Drosophila melanogaster: one gene and its partners. The protein of the gene in region 2 interacts with the protein of the main gene of each other region in a pairwise test. Each region holds a gene or a part of one and is shown on either strand. Other genes may lie near its edges.

Region 1 (5,889 bases), on a different chromosome or scaffold from region 2:
TCGAACAAACCACAATGAAAGCAGGTGAGTTTCATTGATGACCTCACATCGCTGAAACCATTGAGATGCCAATAGCGGAATTCTGTTTCAGCTTTAGTCCTTCTCTTCCTGACCCTCTGCGTTGCCATCTACGCCGACCTTGACTGCAATCCCGATGGCAATGGTGAGCCCGATTGCGTGGGACGCTCCGGAGAGATTTCCCGTGACTTCTGGGATCCAACCCACTACTGGCAGTGCTCTAGCACCGGACAGGCCGAGCTAGTTGCCTGCGAGCAGAACACTGGATTCGATCCGAAAACTGGAAGCTGCGTCGATTGGAGCGTTTGGCAGTGGTATCCTCCATGTTCCGAAGCATCCACTTAAGCAATAAACTTCTCTTGCAGTTTATACGTTTTTCATTAACTTTTTTTGGTTCATTTGTAATGGTATTTAACTGGGAAGATGGGCTTGAATGAAGTCTAGAATATATCTCTAGATTTCTCGGATCTTTATCGAATTTTTAACAGAGTATTTAATGCTTGAAAAGGTTAATGTTCCGGGTGATTATCTCGTTGGGAAGTGTAAAAAAAAGGGTTAGTCCGAGGAGGAATTAAATAATTGATCTCACAGACTATTAGCCCTCGAAATGTACAAGTACGCAACTTGCATTTTCTCCATTTTCGCTTTATGGAACTTTTGGGGCGTCAGTGCCAAAAAGCAGGATACTTCCACAGGAACAAATGAATTGCCAAAAGCACCAATGCCGTATTATACAATCGAGAATATTGATATGCACCAGCAGCACTGGTTTACCTACAATTCGCTAAGACAAAATGGAACTTTGTGGAGAATTGGTAATATGGAGCAACGCTTAGAAATGCGATTGCAGTCCTTTCAAAACCAGATGGAAACTAAACTTCGGGCTCTAAAGCAACAAATTGAACCCTACATGGAAAACGTTAAAATGTCCAACAAAATCAAAATGTCCGTATTCAAGAAGATTGGCTCCCGGCACTTTTACTTAGAAAAGCAAAAGAAGATGCCCTGGGATAGCGCATACGACACGTGTCGTCAAATGGGCGGTCACCTGGCGAATATCCTCGATGAGAAGGAGCTGAATGAAATATTCTCAGAGGAAACCAAAAAAAAGTACTGGGTAGATATCAACAGCCGTGCCAACGATGGAGCGTCCTGGATTTCTACACTATCCGGAAGGGATGTACCATTTCTGAAATGGAAGCCAAATCTGGCCACAAATATACATAACCATTGCGTGTATATCAATTCCAATGAAATGTACTTTGAAAATTGTGCCAATGATAACTATTTTGCTTGCCAAGCCGAGCAATGGGCCTGAATATCGAGCATTGATTTTTAGAACTATTTTAAACTTTAAATGTGACTTTGATAATAAAGGTTTAAAAATTGAACTCCTTTAAACTTTAATATGTATTTTTTTTAAATCATCAAAATTGCAATGTGTCTTTAATAATAAAGCTATTAACTTTAGGCATTTTATATTTTTTTTTTTCAATACACCATAGTAGATTTTCATTTTTTTTAATTTTTCCAGCCTTTTTGCTTTTCACAGTGATGCTTTAAAACGGTTACATTATCATTAAAAAGCGTGACAAAATTAGTTGAGCTCATTGGAAGTTCTTTAGCCAGATTGGATCTCACACGCTTGAAATCTTCCAAACTGGACATGTACGCATCTAACCTCTTATACCTGTTGGCATTATGGAACCTTTGGGATCTCAGTGGTGGGCAGCAGGACATTCCGAACGGAAAGGCTACATTGCCAAGTCCACAAACGCCGCAAAATACAATCGATCAGATTGGTATTAACCAGAATTATTGGTTTACATACAACGCGCTTAAACAAAACGAAACATTGGCAATTATTGATACAATGGAAATGCGCATAGCAAGTAGCTTGCTGGAGTTTAAGGCCCAGATGGAAATCCAGCTTCAGCCGTTAAAGATTATAATGCGACACCATGCATCCAACATCAAAGCGTCTAACAACATCAAGATGAGACGATTCGAGAAAGTTGGCTCCAGACATTTTCACATCGAGAAGAATCTAATGCAAACTTGGTTTGAGGCATATGTCACATGTCGTAAAATGAACGGTCATCTGGCGAACATCCAGGATGAGATGGAGCTGGATGGCATCTTGGCGTTAGCACCCAACAATAGCTACTGGATAGATATATCCAAACTGGTTGAAAATGGCGGCACATTCGTCTCCACCCTAACCGGACGAGAACCCTTCTTTGTCAAATGGAAGAGTAATCAGGATACAAAAAAAAAGAATCAATGCGTTTACATCTATGCTAAAGAGATGTCCTATGATGAGTGTTTTGAAAAAAAATCTTTCGTTTGCCAAGCAGACCAGTGGGCCTAAACATAAAGAAAATATTGTTTTGTAGCTTGAATAAAAAAAAACAGCTCGTTTAATGATTTTATTGTATATGAACACAGTGTAGACAGGTCTGCACTGAGTATTATTTCCAAATTCACTCATTCAAGCTATTTGCAACACCCACAAAATTTACCAAGTTTCTTAAATTGTTTGTTCTTCGTTTTACTTGTGAATTTATCCACTTGCTAGGAACATGGTAAAGAATACAGGTGTTGATTTGGGACTACCCGTGGCTAGTTGGTATCGTGGTCTATCGCTCGATCAGATGCAGGCGGCCGATGAGCTGGGAACGGCACTGCAATTCGATATTAGGTCCATTCGGGATTGTCTGCTGCGCCTGGGAGTGCAACCTTTGATCAGAAATCGTGAACTCCATAGAATTTGGCGTTTCAGTCGTGGCCAGAAACTGGCCTTTCTCTACTTTCTATTCCAGGAGCACTACGACACCGGCACTTCGTGCGGAAAGTACTCAGTTAATGGACAACTTCTGCTCTCGGCCATCGCCTATCTGGATTTGCCTGCAACTTTTCGAGCTCTAGACAAAGTGCTACCTCTACCCGGTGTTTTATGTGGGCAAACCAAGATACAGATGAAAAATCGACAGATTAATAATGTAAGCTGCTAATTAGAGTTAAAACTATTATATTAAAAAGAAGTTTTGGTCTTTTGCCCTCTTTCAGAATCGCTCTGCTCGGCCTTCCATCATAATACCGAATTCTAAGACCTATCCACAAAATATAGATGAAGAAATGCCACTGGATCTACCGGCTACATTTCGAGCTCTGGACAAAGTTCTTTCCTCGCATACAACTAAAAAGAAACCATCGTCTTCGCGCAAAAGCTACTACTTTCAAAAGCAACCACGTCCCAAAACCACTCCCCGTCGGTCTAATCAGTTTTTGTCGGATTCGCCGCTGTTAAAGATTCAGATCCCTAACGAAGTGGGCGATCCCAAAGAAGATGAGGACCGTTGGTATGCCGACTTCCAGTTTCATCCCATCCAGCGAACAGTTAAGGCAGTTATCAAACACGAACTGTGTCACCTTTTCGACCACATAGACGAGGTTACCACGGATCCTGCACAGAAAGCGAGGGATCTGTGCGGGTTCCATGAGGAAACTCGAACCCAGGAGCGACAGGCGTTCCTGCAAGAGCAGCGACGACGCTATTTGGATATGATTGACTTGGAAGGGACCGCAAAGCGAGTGAGTAATCCTATTAACAAAATTATCTATAATTAATTTATGAATAATTGTTGACATTCATTTCTCTGGTGAAGCTTACAAGGGAACGGATTTTGCATCACATTAATCGCGACGTGGATGAGTACCTTCTAAAGTTTGGTGACAAGGGCTGGAGTCCTGGTGTGCCTGCTTTCCGGAAAGCCGGTTGTGTTGCTTGCAACGAATTGGTGCACGTAAGCTTGGACACTCCTCCCCAGGTGCTACTCCTCGAAGGTGAATGGGGACGTCTGTACGACAGGAGTGGTGCGCTGATGCGACTCTGCGCTGGTGAGGATGGCGAACCAGATGTATTGGCGGAGGAGGAGCAGGAGGAGGAGGAGGATTCTATTGCCATACCTGAATATTTCACGTCACCCGGAGACCACAAGCCCTTCGCCTTCAACTATCCACACGTTTTCAAAAGGAACAGCAAGCAGTCTTTGGACACAAATGATGTCGTTAAGAAGTCCTTAATGGAAGCACTCGGTGGCCAAAAAAATGAGCATCGACAAGGAGTCCTTGCATCGGGGCCGATAAGGAGAAGTCACATCAACGAAGCCGTGTCCCGATGTGTGAGAAAAATCTTTGAGAAGAGTTTGCTGGCGGTGCCGACTACGCCGACACCCAAGGATTCCATCGAACGCCTCGTCTACAATCGCGAGCGAATCGATCCCGATGATGACAAGTTCATGGACCAAATGCTAAGCGATGGCTTTGAAATCTTGCGTCGCGACAGCAAACTGGTGCTGGCCAGCCTCCACAATGGCCATCAAATTCCGGAAGTACGGGAATGGATTTGTAGGAGATATGGTAAGCGATATGGTCCACAAAGCCATGCGGATTTCGAAAGCTACAGACACAATATGGCTAAATTGTCGGAGATGGAAAAGAAATTGATTCCGCTGCTAACTAATATAGATCCGCTGATCGTAAAACAAAATCCCATTCCATATGCACTGCACAAGGAAATTATGGAAAAATCCAACAAATTTAAGAAGTCATTTCGCGATGAAGTCCTTCAGATCGTCCTGAAGCAATCCCGTCTCTGCTGGCAGGCGCAGCACAGCCTGCGCTTTGTCAACAGTTCCAGGATTCGTCGTACCTTTTTTACTTATCTGCCCAGTTCTGTCAGGAGTATAGATCCCACCTTCAGCTACTACTTAGCTCGTAAAAATGGCTAAGCACACCTTAGCTCCTAAATCAGGATTTTTTGTAAGAACAAGATTTTACAATACCCGATGTAGTGGTCATGACTGACTGACATTCAATTATTTGAATCTCTAGTGCGTAGTGATAAGTTCAAGACTAAATTGATATGTTTTTATACCTCTGACTATTTTTACCATTTGACAAGTAGAGCTTCTGAATATAGAAATGTATATGTTTGATGTGTTTTTTCTATTTTATTAAGGGATATTTGGCATTAAGCTATCATAAGATTTAAAAAAATTTGTGGACGGCTTTTGTCTGTGCCTAGCCGACCGTTTATGTGTTCCATCCTTGTCTAGGGGAGTGCTAACTTGCTCTCCTTCCAAACAACACGTTTGGACCACACACTTGTCGCGCTTTATAAGCACTCCATGCGGAAAAAGAACTTGGGAATTTTAAGAGCCCATTGCATGAAAATTAGTGATATGCATATAACAACTTTTAATAATGTATTAAAACATATTTATGCAATGTGTATTTATTATAATTTTCCATAACTCATAAAAAAAATTATTCTGGCTAACATTGACACTGAAATTAATGGGCTGATTGATTTCCCGTTTTGGGCACCTGCAACGTGACATTGACGACAACTCCAAATGACCACAAGGGCCACTGGATGACCCAGTCATTAACCAAACGACCACGTTTTACCACCAAAAATTGATTAATCCATCCACGTAGTACCCGAAAAACATATAAAAAGACAGGTAATGAACAGCAAAGTTATCAATCAATCAACAACGGTTCCCTCATAAGTTCGTGTATCTCTTGCGTCAAAGCCAATATGCGCAGCTACGTGAAGTCATCCTGTTCCTTGCTGGTTCTGGTCCTGGCACTTGGAGCGGTTTCAGCTCAGCCAGCACGGCTGGCAAAGCAACTTCAGAAACAGCAGGCAGCACCCTATCCATCCGCCGACGAACTGAAGCCGGAGGTGCCATTCGAGGAAGGAGTTCCGGATCAGACATATGGACCACCGGATCTGACCTACGGCCCACCGCCTACCGATGCAGTTGAGCAGCTACCCAGCGATGAGGAGCCGCAAGACTT
Region 2 (5,804 bases):
TCGCGCGCTGTCAGGGAAACTAAAGTTTCCAGGCCTGCAACTCGACCAATTACCGTTAACGTGGCGCTAATGGAGGTACCTTCTCCGGGGTCCAATACGTGCCACTTGAGAGGTGCATCGCTGTGGCATAACAATGACAGCGTCTCCACTGACCGTCGACCCGTAATTAAAACTCAATTATGTGGCTACGAAGTTGACAAAGTGGCCACATCAAAGTAGATAAATTTCATTTACCGCCTGAAAGTGCAATCATTACACTTCGTAAAACTTCGCACAGCAGTTCCGATTCGTTCACACTTGATAGGTCAAAGTGCAGATGGCAAGTCCTGCGATGGCAATCTACCAAAGTTTCCAATCACAAGTTGTCGCAATAATTGAGGACATCCAGCAGTTACGGCACCACGACCAAGGTGCTACACGTATGCGTGTGTGAGGGAATACTGCGGCAAATGCCAACCGCATTCTCAATGAGGCATCCTCAAAACGTGTCCCACCAGCAACAAGTTCGCCATTTCTGCGTAACGCATCGATAGAAAATATATAATTCAAGCCGAACACTAAAATACCAGAGAAATCACATGTAGTACCCAAAAATAAATAAATTAGCAGATCTAAGGCCAATTTCAGGTAACTCAAATATAATGTGGTATAAATTTCCGCACAATATAAGCTGCATTGAATGAAAGCTTTCTTTATATTTAACTTACTAAATGAAGTATAAACAAATAAATAAAAATAGATTTTAAACTATGTTTTAGAATAATTTTTGATTAGATAATGTAAACATTTCCAGCTGATCAGCCATTTGTCTTGTCGACCTCTTGAAAAATTGAGAGTAGAGCAGGACCACAATTTACTGATGGAATTTTTACACAAGTTATTTATTTTGTTTCTATTGCTGGCCGCTTCATTCATGACGACTTCATTTACTTGACGAATGTGCCCGTGCAGGACGAAGGATCCACGCTGCTGGCTTTATTAATATTTATAAGTTGGACTCTCTAGCAGGAGCTTAGCCAAAGCCGCAATAATTCCCCCGACCACGCAATCAAAATCAACCCTCTTGGAAATTCCGATGGCTGGCTGGAGACAGCCACTTGGTTCGCTTAACATTTTCAATTTCAATCTAATCTAAATTACATGATATGCGCACAATTTGAACGCTAATGAGCAAGGAATTTGTGGTAAGATGGTGGCGGAGCAACGCTGCGTATGCGCAACATATTGCGTGTGAATTTTAATTAAAAACTTTTCTCACTTTCCAACCGAGATAATCTCTGTCCCACCGCCTTTTCCTCGAAATCTCCCACTGCGAATCGGATGTCCTTTCGTGTTGGCTGCTGTTGTTGCTGTTGCTTCGATTGCATCGATTTTCTGCTAACTTTGAACGGTATTTGAAAGGAGCTTAAGCTTGTTTCTTTTATTTGCGCTACCTTCGCGCGAAACCCGATTCCATGGGCAGCAAACAGGACCAGGTTGGCTAACAAATTCTTGGAGCTATTCAGCGGTTAGCGGTTGGGGTAAACAACTTCTATAATCACTGTAATGCGATCAAGCATAAAGATGGCTCTAGCTGACCGTTTATTTAGATGGGTAAACGGGTAATCCTATTTTTAGCCATGTTTATTAGACGAGAACAGCTTCTTTCACTAATGCGATTTAAAGAAAGCCTAATTTTTTAAAATAACTATACTTAATTAGTTGCAATCTCTTTCACATTTACATCACCCCTGCTAAGTAGAGGGTATGTGGTAGTCGAAGAACTCGTCTATAGCGCCCTCCCTGATTGTTGTAAAGTTGTAATAATAGTAATAAGTTAAAATATGTTGGTAGAGGATTTCAATGAGGTATTTTATTTCAATAAAATTCCGCTTAGAACATTCACCATTCGTTGCATTCCGTTCGCCCTCTAACCTGTTAACTTGGTTTTAATTTACACTTAATTACGTGCATTGCCGTGGCAAAAGTGCAACAGATTGCTTCGTGGATTGCTTCATTAATTGTCCTCTGTTGTGGCAACTACCATCCTGCCGCATCTCCCCTCTAATAACACATTACCAAGCTGCTGGTCCTGCTATTTAATGGCCTCACATGTGTCGGGAGATAGGGACAAAAATTAACCTTTGACCTGAATGTGTACGGTATCGCGTCACTTGGCTGTGCAAACAAATTGTTTCACGTCAAAAAGTTCCATTATTCGATTATGAGCCGGTCGAATAATACATTAGTAATGCAATTAATTAGTATATAAAGAATTCCGTATTCACACCGCCATCGGCACCAAATGATTAACTTCCATGGCAATTGTTTTGCTTAGGGCCCAACCACTTGCTTGATTCCCTTCCCATAACTGCTCTTTTCTGGCCAAGAGCACCTGCCCGCTCTTTGGAATTCCCAGTTGCTTTCTCTTCGTTTGCCCACGCAGCCGCATCAAGCTATTCCGAAAATAAAGCAGCCGACTTGTGGACGTTGCGTATACGCAGTGTTGTCGCCGCCGTTCGTTTGGAACCACTGTTCAGTCGCTAGCTGGACGTGATGTTGGCCGGAAGAGCAGCACGGCAAACAAATAAAGACTTAGCCAAAACAGCTGAACAATAGCTGAGCTGAACTGAACTCCAGGCCGTAACAAGTGTGGCAGTAGTTAGGTGTTCGTGCCGCTGAAACAACAAGTATCCAGCACAGTACTTTCTATTTCGGTTAGTCGGTCGGTCGGTTGGTCGTTTGGTCGGTTTGTCCGAGTGTGTGCGTGTTGGCCACCTAAGTCCTGGTGCGTGCGTGTGTGTGCGCGCTAACTGTGTTTTTGGATGCAAATCAAAGCGCAGCTCACCTGAAAAGTATGCTTTAAATTTTTACTATCGCCACTCCGCGTGTGTACTTGTAACTCTGAAAAGTTTCTGTTTCTGTGTTTATTTGACTACCGCGGCGCATTTACATAAGTAAACTTTGGCATGCGCGCGGCCTGCTGCCGCTGATGTAGATGTAACGACGTCGACGTTGGCACTGAATAATTAATGCAATCAAGCAATTTGAACCCGTTCCGCCGTGGAGTGTGCCTGGGCCAGTGCCACAACGGTTTCAACGTGACCATAATGAGAGCTCCCCAAGCTACAAGTCACTAAGTGTGCCCGAAAAGCCCAATAACACAAAGAGATAACCTGACCAAAATTCGCAACAAAAAAAAAAAAAAAATACAACACACAAGAAGCCTGAGGAACAAGGAGGGAATACACTATATTTTTCGACAGAACTATAGCTATACTATACCATATTAACAAGAGAGAGTCTACTATATATGTACTTACTTAGTGCTAACTGACCACGCATATTCCAATCATAAATTATCGTGATAAAAATTCTTAGGCGCTGAAAGCCAATTTCAATTTTCACCCAAAAACGATAGAAGAAGAAAAGCCCCTGAAAGAGAAGAGAGAGAGAGAGAGGGATATACGCTGTCTGCAGACCAACAAATTACTAATAATAATTTTTAGATTTAAACGACAACAAAAACGAGACTAACAAACATCTGCTGGCCACACAAGGAACGTATACAAATAAATGCGGGTATATAGCAAAATGTAGACAGCTTGGCAAATATATTTCGATTAAAATATATACCAAATTGAACTGGACAGAGCTTTGACACGAAAACCAAATCGTTTGCCAAGTGAATTTTATGAAATTCGCCTGATTATTGCGGCAACAATAGAGATAAGATTCGGAATCAGAGGAAAAGCGTTTAAGTGAATGGGAAAAAGCAGCCAACAGGTTGTCGACGACAGATAAGGCCAACATTTTCTCGAAATTGGTAAGTTGAAATCACAGCAGTGTAGAACGAATGAAAAATAATGAATGTGGCACTTCATTTCTACCACTTGGAAGGATAGTCTGATTTAGAAGTTTATTAAATGGTATGCTAAGTTTTGTCAATGATTTTATTTTGCTAAGAGCTTTGCCATCAACTAATAAAGGAGATTAAGCTTTGAAAACTTGATTGAAAATGAATTTGGGTTTCTGTGGAAGCTTAAGTTTTGCCAAAGTGAAAGAAACTACTGCAAGTTTTGAATAAACTAAATAATTTCTTTAGCAAAGTTAAAGTTTGACAAAAATCATTACAAACTAAAATGGTCATTTGGCTACTTTTAAAGCAATTTTCTTAATTGCATATATTTCGTGTTGGCAGAGTGCATTTAAAATTCTTTTTAAGTTTACTCACCTCACAATTCCCAAATCTGTATCCATTAATTAAGTGCAACTACTTACAGCTGAGAAATGTGATTAAAAGAATGCTATGCAGTTAAGAAATTAAAGTGTCATTGGTGACTTTCTTCACTCCTGCAAGTTCGTCGCTTTTTGCAAAGGTCCTGCGCACGGCTGCCCAATTCCTCCATCCATTATCCACGTAATCCCACTCGTCACGAGATTCCATCCGTCAAATCCCATTCCCGCCCAGCAGCAACATGTAAATGCTCCTGTAGTTCCGGAACATATGTGTACGAAATGAAAAGATCCCAAGGAGTAAACTGTAAACTGTAAAAATACTGACCATGTCGCAAAGTGCCATAAACAATTTTACAACATTTTTGCTGTCATAAGATTAAATGTGCATAAGCTGGAGGAGGGGCAAGGACAAGAAGAGCGCACTCCTCCGCAGGAGGATGAAAAAAAAAATGGAAAGTGCTAGGGAAAAAAAGGAGAAAGCTGTAGGAAAAGCTGGGCAATAGAGCACTGCGATGGGCGAAAGCGAAACAAAAGCAATAACTATAAAACAAACACGACAATTCGCTTCAACTTTGGGGCTACAAAAAATGGCTGAACACACACAGACAGAGGCAAACCGACTTTATGTGAAGAAAGAAAACAACGCTGAAGAACAACGGAGACTCACAGATACGAATACACTGGGTGAAAACTGAATGATTTAAATTACACAATAAAAGTATTGATTTAAGAGTGCTGGGCTCCGGTACACTGCAAGATAGGTTAGACAATGTAAACTTTAAAATATTTAAGATTTGGAAACTCCTTGGGGTTTAAAGGAATATTATATGGAGAGTATTTATGTTTTTCTCTGTAATATGTCTTGCATCGCTTTGGATTTTCTCACTTGAAGGACCCCACTTCGATTCCAGCACTTTTACTCGCGGTGTACACATACACAAGCCCATGTGCATTCATTCTGAGCTCCTTTTTTATGGCCGCTGGCGGTGGGTGTTCGTTGGTATGGTTTTGTTGAGGGTCGACTGGGCTATAAAGGTATGCAGCAGGCAGCAGACGACAGCATCCAATTACAAAGTGAATATTTCGAGACTTGTTGGTTTGACTCCCGCCTTTACGCTCGGGCAGCATATCTCGGTTTCCTTCCATGTTGACCTTAACATTTATTTCATCTGCTCTCTTCTCGGCTTTGTGTGGCAGCCTTAAAGTGACTTTCAAGTTTTTGGTACCGCCGTTACTGTCGCTGACCTGATTCTGATTTCTTCTTTAGTTGCACGAAAACGAGACCACCGAAAACACCGGGTCCATTCCCAAATGAAAACATTTTACGGGGAAGCCCCCACGGAGAGTGGTGTTAGTAGGAGGTCCTTGGGGGGAATAATGAGGTACGCGACCGTGCCCACTTGAGCACGTTCTACATGAACTGCTGGCCCAGCCGGCAATGGTGATGATGGCATGCTAATAACGTCCAACGACCACCTTCCTGAATGGCCAAAATACAAAAAATAAAAAAAGAAAACAAAAACGCTAAAAAACTGAGAAAACGACCAACATGTTTCGCCACGCTTTCGCATTTATACATGGCCTGT
Region 3 (4,556 bases), on a different chromosome or scaffold from region 2:
ATATACGCGTTTAACTACGATATATGTGTACCTGGCTACATGGCTTGGCTTATTATCGTACAGCAGGAAGCACTAAGCGGCCGAAAACAACTTCAATGTGTATAAATATGCTTGCTGGCTAATCTAAAATATATGTAAACATATTTATGTGCGTAATTGTGCACTTTTTCTATATACTATTGGGCTAACAACAGTTGCCTTAACTTGTTAAAATTTCGTTCAACTGCTGAGCAACCACAAAATATTTTGATTGAGCTTATTCGAGCAACCAAACAAGTGGACCGGGATGGGGTCATCCATATTCAGGACCACGTAGGCACGTGAGAATGTGACAATAAAGGTAGGAGCACTCCGAACAGCTCCAAGCTATTTACATTACAACAATAACGTAAAGTAAACGAAACAACAATGGGCCGGTTTGGGTTAATTCTCGTTGATTAATTTGCAAATGTAGGTTCGGAAAGTAATCTTTGGGCATATTATTAGTTTTTAATTAGGCAAGGACTTGGGTTCTATCATCTTGTAATACCTTATTTTCGTTGTATCACATTAAACGATTGCGTACGTTCAATAATCTTTTAGAAAATGGATTATATTACTTATATTCCCACAATATGCATGCCAATATCAAGTGTATATTGCGTTCTTGAATTGTTTAAAAATATTTGGCACATTTTTCTCTTTCGAATACGTAAAATTTGATATGACTTTTCGTGTTATCCCACCACACAAAGGGCGTTGATTCAAGATTACTTTTCGCTTCTACGACTTTTAAGTTGCTTTGAATTTGTACAAAATTAACCCATCCCAAGGCGGGTAACAATATAAAAAATTTGCTGCTCGGACCTAAACTTTTAAAGATGTTCGATCTGATGTCGCGGTTTGAGCAAAACCACCACCGCTGTTATGTTATCCTGGGAATCCCGCTCCTTGGCAGCCTCTATCAGCAGTTTGGGAATGTCGTCCAACTTCATTGTGGTATCCGCTAGGGAATCGTAAACGGTTTCGATTATGAGCGACTCGGGCACATGATCCCACAGGCCATCGGTGCCTAGTACGAGAAAGTCGTGAGCCTCATTTAACTGCACATCCACGAAGTCCGGCTCTGCGATCACTGCCTCAAGGCTGTAGTCGCCAATGGAGCGGGCCACGTTAAGAATGCCATTTACACGCCACTGCCCCTGGGCGTGGAGCACTGTTCCACCAGCTGTTTCTATTCTCTTGCGCTCATCCGGATTCTCTGGCTTGTGCGGTTTCACCAGCTGCAGTTGAGTCCGCTTGCCCACGAGAAGGGCCTTGGAATCGCCCACCCAAGCGATATAAAGCTGATCCTTTGTGATCAAGGCACACACGCTGGTTGTGCCGCTGGTGATCTTCTTCTGGGTGAAACGCTCGTCGGCCAGCAAAAATGCCGACTCGAAGGCATTGCGATAAAAGTCTGGGGAGAATGCAGCAGGATCTGGATTTGCTTTAAGCTGATCGGCTAGCAGTTGTGGGAGTTGGCTGGTTGCATAGGTGGCGGATAAAGAGCCAGAGTGACCATCAAAGACGCCAAAAAAACGGGTGGTCTTGTCCAGCAGCTCGTACATTTCACCAAATCGATCCAGGCAAACACAGCGATCCTCCATTTTGCGGGGTTTGTTCTTTACAGCGGCAGATGTGTGCAGGGGTTCTTTCTGCTGGTGGCACTCGCAGTTTTCCGGCGCCGCCTCATCAGCGAAGTCCTTGAGGCGATCCACCTCCGAGTTGTCGGTGAGTTTTAGGATGTACTTCTCAAACTCACTGGCCACGAACTTCTGCAGCTTGAGAAGATCGTACTGCGGCGGACCCTCCACGGTGACTTCACACTCCTTGGCAAAGCACAGATCCTGCTCCAGCTGCTGTGTGCTTCGATGGAGTAGCTTAATCCGGAACTGCGCCGGACATCCTCGAGTCTCCAGTTGTTTCCAAATAGCTGAGACCAATTCGGCATGACGCTCCTCGCCGGACACTTTGTATGTCTCATTGGCCGTACGAGTTACACAACTCCGGCTGACCACCTCCTCGCTTACGGCTGCTGCCTTCTCCGCCGTGCTGACCAGAAATCGCTTGAATTCCATCAGGTGCGCACATTCCGATGCGGGAATCGCATCTGACGACATACTTGTCGTGGGTCGCGTGTGCCTCAGTTCCTGTTTCCGCTCCTAGTGACGCCGCGCGATCATGAGCTTATCAATGCTAATTGTTGCTCAACGATGATTCACGCGCGCACTGTGCATTTTATGATTTTTTTTTATGTTGTTATTGTTTGCGTTCTTCTATGTTATTCTGCTGCGAACTGAACTGTACTGGCTCGATAACTTTGCTATGCCTATCGAAATAGATGCGTGATATTCCCACCTACGAAGATTGTTTACCCTTCATCTTCGGTTTCATCTATTACGCTTCATTTCTCTTTTTATTTATTTTTTAATTTTGATTGAAAACCTTTAACTGCATTTGGAAACATAAAAAAAACTTCAGAAGTATTTTAAATGAAATAATAGAATATATTTATAAACATAATTTTAATCAAGCCTTTACAATAAATAACAAAAACACCTATTTAGCCTTTTTAAGGCTTCGCATGCGGACCCAGTGGAGACAAGCTATAACTGATTTGAGATAGAACGGCCACACATCCACCGGTGGCCAGCTGATTGTTACTGTTGCTTTTGTTTTTGTTACAAATTTTGATTTTTGTCTTGTTTAACAAAAAATGATAAAATCTTGAACAGTAAAGATAATCCACACAATTTACTATGAGCACGCCACTGGAACAGCAGACGGAAGAACGGGAGGCGTTGCAGTCAATATACGAGGGCGACACGAACTTCAAGGAAATAGATAGCGTCACATTTCAGTACAAAGTAAGCCACATGGATAAAAAAAAGCACACAAATATGATAATTTGTAATATAATAAATGAAATTTTAGTATGGCGAAGAGGATAACTACAAGTCGTTCTTGGTCGAGCTCAAGTGGGGCGAAAATTACCCCGATGAGGCGCCAGCGATCAACATGAACGCGTTTTACAATAGGAATCTGTAAGTGGATCGTTATTCCTTGGGAAATTGGAGCAGGTTTAGCTCTAAAGACTACGCTTTCCTATTTAACAGACTGCCAGCTGTCAAGGAAGGGATCCAAACGGCTCTGAGTACGGAAGCGGACCAATGGCTGGGCTGTGGCATGACCTATACCCTGTTCGAATGCCTTAAGGACAACCTGGAGCAATTGACCGCAGAGCAACCCGAATCTGCACCCACGGTGGCGTTAGTGGATGATGGCGTGGGTGCTCTAAAGATCTCCGATCCCAATGCCGATGCGGAGTCCAAGAAAAAGGAGCCCAAGAAGGAGCACCTGACTAAGGCGCAAAAGCGCCGGCAGTGGGAGAGAACCGATCACAAAGGAGACCGGGAACGTGGCTGGGATTGGGTGGACCTCGTCAAGCATTTATCGCAGACGGGTGGGAAAAACGATGATTCTCTCACTGCCGCCGAAATTGCAGCGTCCAACGCTCCAGCTCTCCACCCCCTGAACAACTAAAATGCCTACCAACTAAAAATAGGAGTAATAACATCGAGGAAACCTTAAATTGAAATCAAAAGCCAATACTATTTTATGTGATAGAATAAACGCGAGTAACTGCATGGGCGGCTATCATAAAGTCTATATCTTGTTTACGCTACTAACTATCAAAGGTTTCAACTTTTGATTTGGGTGAGAGGATTGGCCCTTATAAGATAACATTATCTTTAGAGGAGCAACACAGCGAAATTCCTGGGAAAACTTTATTGACATTTGTAATATTTGCGTTACATGATGGCTGCATAAAATCATAGTTTAATACAAAAGTAAAAATCAAAATCGATTACAATACCGGGATTTGCTTTGCAAGGATCAACATTGACAAGGATAACTAGCGATAAAAACGATCATTCCAACTGTGTCAAACTGGTCAGTCTAATTAAAGACGCCTTCGGCCCGGACATTTAAGGCATCCAGCAAGGAGCCCATGGGCGTGGAGGGAGCAAAGCTCTCGATGCTGTTGGTCAGCTTGTTCTTGATGTTTCGCAGTCGCAAGGAGGCGTGGATGAAGGTCAGCGAAATAGGTAGCAACACGGTGAAAATCGTCAAAAGCACTGCGCTCAGCAGATGCAGAAGAAGATAACCTCCGAGCAGAGCTCCAGCCAGTATGTACCATTTCTGTTGGGCATTCTGCTCTGCTGCATTGGCATTTCCACCAGTCAGACGACTGGCGATGAAGTTCTTCTTCGACTTTCCGCTGAAGAACTGCCAGATAACGCCTATGATCAAAGCCTGCACCAGCAGACCAGTAATAATCTTTGAAGGATTGAAGAAAATCATCAAAACGTAGATGGTAATGAAGAGCAAAAAGTAGTTTGTTTGGTAATAGAGCAGGTTCTTCACCACCCGATTGCCCCACTTCTCAAAATCCTTGAGATTGGGCAGTTGGAATCGGGCCGATCCCAGGATGAAGTCATCGAGGGTTCGCAGAGGCGGCAACTGAAGATTGC

Evidence for each region. The genes of interacting proteins can lie anywhere in the genome.
Region 1: the proteins of Stacl (region 2) and CG42820 interact in a two-hybrid assay, tested with the Drosophila melanogaster proteins (one large-scale study listed by BioGRID).
Region 3: the proteins of Stacl (region 2) and CG10343 interact in a two-hybrid assay, tested with the Drosophila melanogaster proteins (one large-scale study listed by BioGRID).

What each region holds. Positions count from the first base shown.
Region 1 is NT_033779.5:8,389,007-8,394,895, reverse strand, and holds CG42820 (uncharacterized protein), read left to right. Parts: upstream 1-2,497; 5' UTR 2,498-2,600; coding exon 2,601-3,020; intron 3,021-3,087; coding exon 3,088-3,612; intron 3,613-3,686; coding exon 3,687-4,811; 3' UTR 4,812-5,015; downstream 5,016-5,889. Other genes in the region: Peritrophin-15b, read left to right, coding at 15-24, 92-363; lectin-29Ca, read left to right, coding at 626-1,336; Acp29AB (accessory gland protein 29AB), read left to right, coding at 1,685-2,389; CG42819 (uncharacterized protein), read left to right, coding at 5,627-5,889.
Region 2 is NT_033778.4:15,398,579-15,404,382, forward strand, and holds the start of Stacl (Stac-like), read left to right. Parts: upstream 1-2,517; 5' UTR 2,518-3,805; intron 3,806-5,804.
Region 3 is NT_033779.5:18,700,773-18,705,328, forward strand, and holds CG10343 (uncharacterized protein), read left to right. Parts: upstream 1-2,700; 5' UTR 2,701-2,780; coding exon 2,781-2,888; intron 2,889-2,955; coding exon 2,956-3,065; intron 3,066-3,137; coding exon 3,138-3,564; 3' UTR 3,565-3,682; downstream 3,683-4,556. Other genes in the region: CG10376 (uncharacterized protein), read right to left, coding at 855-2,141; Jwa, read right to left, coding at 3,982-4,556.